Oryctolagus cuniculus: one gene and its partner. The protein of the gene in region 1 interacts with the protein of each later gene in a biochemical or structural test. Links are inferred from orthologs where the notes say so. Each region holds a gene or a part of one and is shown on either strand. Other genes may lie near its edges. The genes, in order: CD244 and SH2D1A.

Region 1 (3,811 bases):
GGTCATCCTTTCAACCTTTGGGACTGGCTTATTTCACTCAGCATAATGTTTTCCAGATTCCTCCGTTTTGTTGCAAATGACCGGATTTCATTGTATTTTACTGCTGTACAGTATTCTATAGAGTACATATCCCATAATTTCTTTATCCAGTCTACTGTTGCTGGGCATTTAGGTTGATTCCAGGTCTTAACTATTGTGAATTGAGCTGCAATAAACATTAATGTGCAGACAGTTATTTGCCAATTTCATTTCCTTTGGGTAAATTAATTCCAAGGAGTGGAATGGCTGCATTGTATATTCAAGTTTCTGAGGAATCTCCAGACTAACTTCCATAGTGGCTTTCTTTTTTTAAGATCTATTTATTTATTTGAAAGTAAGAGTTACACAGAGAAAGGAGAGAGGGAGAGAGAGAGAGAGAGAGAGAGAGAGAGAGGTTTTCCATCCGCTGGTTCACTCCCCAATTGGCCGCAATGGCCGGAACTGTGCCGATCCGAAGCCAGGAATCAGGACCTTCCTCCGGGTCTCCCACATGGGTGCAGGGGCCCAAGGACTTGGGCCATCTTCTACTGCTTTCCCAGGCCACAGCAGAGAGCTAGATGGGAAGTGGAGCAGCCAGGACTTGATCTGGTGCCCATATGGGATGCCGGCGCTTCAGGCCAGGGTATGAATCTGCTGCACCACAGTACCAGCCCCCTATTAATTTTCTGGCTAAGGATACTCTCAGGGGTTTCTAAGCCCTAAGTCTCACTTGGGACCCCTCACACCAGCAGGAGAGTGACATCTCTAATCTTGAAGTCAAGTATTCTTTCTCCCTTTGAATTTCTAGTCTGGACCCAAGGTGAAGAACCATAACTCTTCCATCAGTCACTCTGTCTACGAAGAGGTAGGATCCTGGAACTCCTCCTGGATGGGTTTAGTTTCTGCAGCACAACATTCAAGTTTGGCCATGCATGGTGTGTTAGGAAAAGGTCTCCAGAGATCTTAAAATGCAAATCATCATTTTATTTTTTAAACTTATTTATTTTATTTATTTGAAATGTAAAATGATAGAAAACTAGATAGAGAGTGCTCTCATCTGCTAGTTCACTCCCCAAATGCTCTCCACAGCCAGGTCTGGGCCAAAAGCCAGGAGCCAGGAGCCAGGAACTCAATCCAGGCTTCCACATAGGTGGCAGGGACCCAAGTATTTGGGCCATTATCTGCTGCCTCCCAAGGTCTGCATTAGCAGGAAGGTAGAATCAGGAGTAGAACCAGGGGCTGAACCCAGGCACTTTGCTATGGGATGCAAGCTTCCCCTTCCCAAGTGGCTTCTCAGCTTCTGTGCCAGATGCCTGCCCTCCAAATATTCATGTTAGAGATGAAGATGCAGAGGCTCAGGGAGAGTCAGCATGTAACACAGGTTTGACTCTCATAAGGCAGTCTAAGTTGTGGATTATGGCTGTCTCCAAGCTAGTTCCCAGGGTGTGAGCCATAGATCTTCCAAGGGTTTGTGTGTGTGTTGGCAGGAGGGGCGTGAGGGATGGACGTCAGTGGGGATAAGTGAGTCTAAATGAGTTCCTAAAATTCAACCATCGCAGTGGACCATTCTGGCACACGGGTGGTCTGAAGCTTCTGCTGGAGTGGATGCTGTTCAAAGGTGAACGCTGAGCTTGGTGGCTGAACTGATTTCCTCGGCTCATTTGGCAGGCAGGGTGAGGGGAAGAGGGACTCAAACTTTGCTGAGAGTCACTACCTGTAAAGCAGCCTGCCAGCGTCTGAATCCCTTATCTAATGCCCACGTAATGCTATACGGCAGGTATACATACACATCTCATTTACACCCAGAGAGGTTACTGCATGGGGAGCATCCCAGCCATTCCTAGTACACTCAAACCTCCAACTGTGGTCCAGTAAAATGCTGTCACTGATCACAATGGAGAGGGTGAGTGGGTTGTGGTTGGGATTCCCAGAACTTCAGCTGAAGCCCAACAGTCTGGGAGGTCTGGAGGAAGCACAGTATGGTTAAAAGAGCACTGGAATTGAAGCCAGAGAACTGCATTGAAGACCCTCCTGTACTTCATACTAGTGGCTCACCCTAAGGAATTTGTTTTACCACTCCAAGCTCCATTTACTTAATCTGTAAAGTGGACACAATGATTCATACCCCCACACGATTGTTACAAGAATCTGCTAGTGGGTAGGTCTGAAATTTTTCCATTTCTTCCACAGGTTGGAAAGAGACCACCTAAAGCCCAGAGCCCCACTCGATTGAGCCGTGAAGAACTGGAGAGTTTTGATATTTATTCCTAGTTGCTGTAGCTCATCTCACCTTTCTTGCACATCAGCCTCTGCTTTGGGAAATAGCACAGTGGATGATGCCACAGGAGTCTACACAGAGCAGTTCCTAGTCTGGAGAAGATATGGAAGTTTGTTCATGGTCTATATTTTGTTTTAAAAATGATTTCTAATTGCCATTACAAGCATAAGGCTATTAAGCAATATCTCTCAACTTGCAGACAGGACAAAAACAGGTGGAAATACTGGGTCATTCACAGAAGACCACATTCCAAGTATTTGTAATCTGTCAAGTATCATGTAAATGGAGTTGGGACTGTCATTAGCATGGAGATTCCCTTTCTCTGGTTTTCTAGCCTGTTACTTGGCTCCCATCCTCCCAAATCTGGGATGACTACATGTCTTGCCCTGGTCCATCTCCCAAAGTAAGAAGAGTGAAAGGTGATGGTGGCTGGGAGGTAGAGGAAGCAGCCCTCTGGCTGTCACTGGCATGTTCTCCAAAGCCAGGGCCAGAGCTTGATTCAAATGCAGAGGGAAAATTTTCACTCACATCTCACATCTTACTTCTGGCTAACTGGTCACAAAGGGGTATGGGCAGCTGTGGGAATAGACGGTGCAAAGCAAGCCCATCTCTGGAAAAAACTCATCGAGGGCGGCGGATGCTTGGTGCAGCAGTTACATCACTGTTTGGAAGGCCCCCATCCAGTATCAGAGTGCTTGGATTAAGCCCTGGCTTCTCTGCTTCCCATCCAACTTCCTGCTAATGTACTCTCTGGGAGGTAGCAGACGATGGCTTAAGAGCTTTGGTCCCTACAACCGACATGGGAGACCTGGATTGAGCTCCAGGCTCCTGGCTTTGGCATGGCCTAGCCCTAACTGTTGTAGGCATTTGGGGAATGAACCAGCCAATGGAAGATTTTCTCTCTGTTTCTCTCTCCCTTTTAAATAAAATGAAAATAAATAAACATTTTTAAGAGGAAAGAAAAGTCACCGAGAGTTTATAATCACAGGAAGACCAGTTTTACCCTTAGTGTATGTGTGTGCTGTTTGATTGACTACAGCACATTATGAGAAAGCTACTGTGGTCTGTTCCTGGAAGAGGAGGCTCCTAGGAAGCCATAGTCTTAAAGTTTGGTGTCCAGATGATGCTTCGCATGATATGCACTCAGGCAGCTGAATACTGACTATGAGGCAAGAGGACCCGGGCACCATGCTGGGTTCCCCCAGTCTTCAGAGCACACCTTTCAACAAGACTATGAAGAGCAGGGCTGAGACTCTGAGCCCAGGAAAGGGAAAAGGATAAGCTGGACAATGACTTACTCAGAGACCCCAGCTGCTAAAAAGGCATCACTGGGAACGGCAGTCAAGACAGGGTTCCAGCTGCAGGTGGGAGATGCAGTGTCAGTTTGCAGAAGATGCTTCCATCTGAGGTTTCATGTGCATGGCCATCTAGAATTTTACTGCTTCAAGTCTAGAGAAAATGAAACTAAGAAGCAGATTAAACCCACAGGGTATAAAACAAAGGACAGAGTCATTA
Region 2 (4,462 bases), on another chromosome or scaffold:
ATATTATGTTTGTGTCTACAAAGCACGTTCAATCTGTAAAAAACTAATTAAAAATCGTTAAAGTCTCTAAAATGTGAAAAGAAATGAAGGAGACTTATATTTCAGCTACTATGGCTGGGCATTCTTCCACCAAGGAGAGCTGTTGCTGGCTACCACTGAAATCTTAAAGGATTGTCCTTTTTTTTTTTTTTTTTTTTTTTTTTTTTGACAGGCAGAATGGACAGTGAGAGAGAGACAGAGAGAAAGGTCTTCCTTTTGCCGTTGGTTCACCCTCCAAAGGCTGCCACGGCCGGCGCACTGCAGTCGGCACATTGAGCTGATCTAAAGCCAGGAGTCAGGTGCTTCTCCTGGTCTCCCATGGGGTGCAGGGCCCAATGACTTGGGCCATCCTCCACTGCACTCCCGGGCCATAGCAGAGAGTTGGACTGGAAGAGGGGCAACTGGGACAGAATCCGGCGCCCCAACCGGGACTAGAACCCCATGTGCCAGCCCTGCAGGCGGAGGATTTAGCCTATTGAGCCGTGGTGCTGGCCAAAAGGATTGTCCTTAACCCTCATAGTTGGAGGGAAAATAACCATCTTTGGCTCTGAGCATCCAATTCATTGGTTAAGATATGAGGGTTTAAATGTCCTCCCAAGAGAGTTCCCAGCCCAGACGCATTCTCAGAAAAGTAGGTGGTGAAGTGGTGAAAGGAATACAACAGACAACATAGCTTCAGCTCTTTGTATTCCAATTCTAAAAGTATTTTACATAATCTAACGTGACATGTGTAAGACTGTTGAGTTCCAGGCATTAAACGATGTCTAGCAAAAATGGAGGAAGTTTTTGGGAAATATTACTTATCACTATTTGAAATAGAAGCAATGCTTTATTTCAGAGAAGAAAATGTAGGCTGAAGGCTTTTAAAAAATTAATGACAGCTTAACATCAATTGAAGAAGAAGCCATTCTCTAGAAACAACAGAATAAAAGTTACCACACAATTATCAACATGCACAAAATGTTGTAAAACAAGTTTTATGGCTGAAATCCTGAAAAGCGGGCCCTACACACCAAAGGGCATAGACAAATCCATGTAATGATGAAGACCCAGTTAAATGATTTGGCTTCATTCCAGGGCCCAGCAAATAGACAAATCTGGAATACCTTTGGACATACACTGGGATTTTTGTACCTCCTCCAGCACATTGGGATCCTAGACAAGGTGCTAGAAAAAAAATCAGTATTTACTTAGGACCAGGATCGTTCAAGATGACTATCTGAGTTAGGAGCTGAGAGAGAGGAACTTGCCCAAAGTCTATTGTTCACCTGCTTCATCTGATTCTGCAGGAGTCTCATGGCCATGATCAGTAGTAATTGCATATAGAAGGTGCCGTTTCGGTGCTTTGGTTTCAGAGCTTTTAGTCCTTCCGTCTTCAGTAGGTTTCAGCCCCGCATGACACGCTGCCTCTATCAACTCCTTTGAAGATCGGGTAAGCTAAGTCATTCCCGGTGGCCCCAGGGGGGAAAATGCAAGAATCGAAGCATTACCAAGCACTCTTGTCAGTGGGTGAGAGTCTGCATTGGCAGTACAGCCCAAATCGTGCAAAGTCCGTTTTCCAAGGTTGCACTCTTTGTAGGAACCCTATGTTGGTTGGGGGGTGGGGACCACACCCGGTGACAAGTTTGATAGAACCAAGCGGCTAAGTTGCTGAGCTGGTTTTAATTGAAGTGTGAGAGGGAGGTTTTTAGGCAGGTAGACAACATCCTGTTGTTCCGGTGCTTCTCTTTCTTTTTGCACATTTAGCTGAACTGGGAGTCAGGTGGCTGACTTGTGCCTGGCTGCAGCAGCTGCATCTCCCAAGTACCATCTGCAAACCTCGGCCTGCCCCAGAGTCTCCTAGGCAATGGATGCGGTGGCTGTGTATCATGGCAAAATCAGCAGGGAAACCGGGGAGAAGCTCCTGCTCGCCACCGGGCTGGACGGCAGCTATTTGCTGAGGGACAGTGAGAGTGTCCCGGGCGTGTATTGCCTTTGTGTGCTGTGAGTACGTTATGGCTGTGGCGGCGCAGAGTGTGGGCAGTGGGCACGGGGGGCCTGGGGGCAGGGATGCGGGTGGCAGTTGTTCATTAAGATCTCCTCTCCATGGCCGCAAGATTTCCTGTTCAGCTCCCACTTTGGCCGAGTGTCTTCCTGGGGATTTCATTCCCTGGCTGCCGCCTCTCCAGGAGGACCTCGCCAGGGACTTTCTGGGCAGCTGCAGAATGTAGCCTTGAGGATATGGGGAAGCATGGCCTAGAATTTACCTTTGCTTTGAGACTCGGGCTCCTGGCTTCCGTCTTGACTTCCAACTGAGGCCAGCAAGATGGAGTCCTGGAATGATGGGCCAATCAGATTTGGGGCCCCCAGCTCTGGAGAGAAGGAAAGGCCTCTCTTGAGATGGTTTGGAAGTGTCATCCCAAAGGAAGAATACCAAATTCAGGGAGAGGAGGCAGACTAAAGGGCAGAGTCCATTACTTTCAGAATGCGGCCACCAGTTGGGTCAGGACGCAGAGATGGGGTGTGTGTGAGTAAAACTGCTGCTCTGGATCAGCTTATTTAGCTTCTTTTAGAGGAGGTGTGTGGGGGACAGGAGGTTTTAAAAATAAGACCCTCCTCTATGAAAGCTAGGACCGATAGTGGTAAAGGGTGTGGCGGGAAAACACCCTCGTCATGATTCAGCTTTGCCTTTGTCTAGGCGTGTCTGGGTCTAAATGCCCCATTTTGAATCAGATGCACCTGCATCTTTGTTCCAGGGCTCCAGAGGCAGACAGCTGTGAGAGCGAAACCCTGTGCTGGTCAGAAGCCAGGTGTGTGGCCTTGGCAAATTAATGTCTTGGTCTTTCAGTTTCTGCATCCATTCAATGGGTATTACCCACCTCACAGAACTGTGAAGGTTCCGTGCTGTAATGCATGTAAAAAATTAACACTGAACCTAACACATAGTAAGTGTTCAGTAGAAATAAGATATTGGTATTATTACAATCAATCTTCTCTTTCAGTTGATTACTTTTAACACTCCTGGGAAGGACCTAGCTGAAGCATTGTCATCACCAGGATAAAATCACCCATGGAAACACCAGCACTCTACGTTAGGTTCTAGACAGAAACAAAATAAGGGCTAACGCTTGGTAGTCAGTCAGTTCAGTATTGATGATACATTGATTGTATATTGGTTTTTAAAAATGGCCAAGGTTTGTTAGTAGTAGTTCTGAGATTGTACTAAATACATTCATCATAAGGACTGCAAAGGAGATGCACACAAGTTACTGAATCTCTTGAGCTTGCAGTTTCATGTTTTCCTGATATTACTGTGCTTCCTGAGTGAAACCAGGAGAGGGTGGTGAAAGCCAACTAGGATTCTTAGGCGCTTTTCTTTTTAATTTAAAAAAAATTTAAAAATTTAACTGATATATGAAAATTGTACATATTCATGGGGCTCCATTGATGTTTTGATACGTGCATACGTCATGTAATGTTCAAATCTAGATAAACATGTCAATCTCCTGCAAGCATTTGTTGTTTCTTTATAGATAGACTCTTTCATTATCAAAAGAAGGTAGGGGAGTGAGTGGGAGGGTTGAGGGGGCTGCTTTAGGGAAGCTAGCCAAGGAGGTAATGTGCTTCTTAGCTTAGCGGTAAAGAGGAAGGCACAAAAGAAGCCTGGGCAGGGGTTGGGAGAGCGGGGGACAGTGTGTGGCTACGTACATTAAGGCTTCATTTTTGCTGGCCTCCTGGCCATTTCTTAAGCTCACTGAGTATGCTTCCTATTTAGGGTTTTTGCCCTTAATGCTCCTTCTGCAAAAATTTGATTTACATGTTTAGGCAACTGACTCTTCCTTCAGCGAGGCCTTCTCTGGCCACCCTATCTAGACTGAATGCCCTCTACCTCTCCCACTTACGTGCTCTTTATTTTTCTTCAAGGAGCTTTAAAGGCCTGACATTTGCATGTTTACTTAACTGTATTGCTGGGATCTTCTAGAAAAATGTAATCTCGGCTGGCACCGCGGCTCACTAGGTTAATCCTCCACCTGCGGCACTGGCACCCCTGGTTCTAGTCCCGGTCGGGGCACCAGATTCTGTCCTGGTTGCTCCTCTTCCAGTCCAGCTCTCTGCTGTGGCCCGGGAGGGCAGTGGAGGATGGCCCAAGTCCTTGGGTCCTTGCACCCGCATGGGAGACCAGGAGGAAGCATCTGGCTCCTGGCTTCAGGGTGGTGCAGCGTGCCGGCCATAGCGGCCACTTGGTGGGTGAACCAACGGAAAAAGGAAGACCTTTCTCTCTGTCTGTCTCTCTCTCACTGTCACTCTGCCTGTCAAAAAATAAATAAATAAAATAAATAAATAAATAGAAAAAATGTAATCTCCGTGAGGGCAAGGGTCTTCATCTCCAGCCCCAGGAATATAGCCTGGTGCATAGATAGGCACTCAAAAAATATTTCTGAAT

What was found.
Region 2: the proteins of CD244 (region 1) and SH2D1A interact in a biophysical measurement, tested with the Homo sapiens proteins (2 studies listed by IntAct). The link is inferred for Oryctolagus cuniculus from reciprocal best matches to the Homo sapiens genes CD244 and SH2D1A.

Annotation. Positions count from the first base shown.
Region 1 is NC_091438.1:38,097,048-38,100,858, forward strand, and holds the end of CD244 (natural killer cell receptor 2B4), read left to right. Parts: intron 1-826; coding exon 827-883; intron 884-2,208; coding exon 2,209-2,289; 3' UTR 2,290-3,260; downstream 3,261-3,811. UniProt on the Homo sapiens protein: Heterophilic receptor of the signaling lymphocytic activation molecule (SLAM) family; its ligand is CD48.
Region 2 is NC_091453.1:102,134,340-102,138,801, forward strand, and holds the start of SH2D1A (SH2 domain-containing protein 1A), read left to right. Parts: upstream 1-1,378; 5' UTR 1,379-1,471; intron 1,472-1,683; exon of another isoform or gene 1,684-1,785; 5' UTR 1,786-1,885; coding exon 1,886-2,022; intron 2,023-4,462.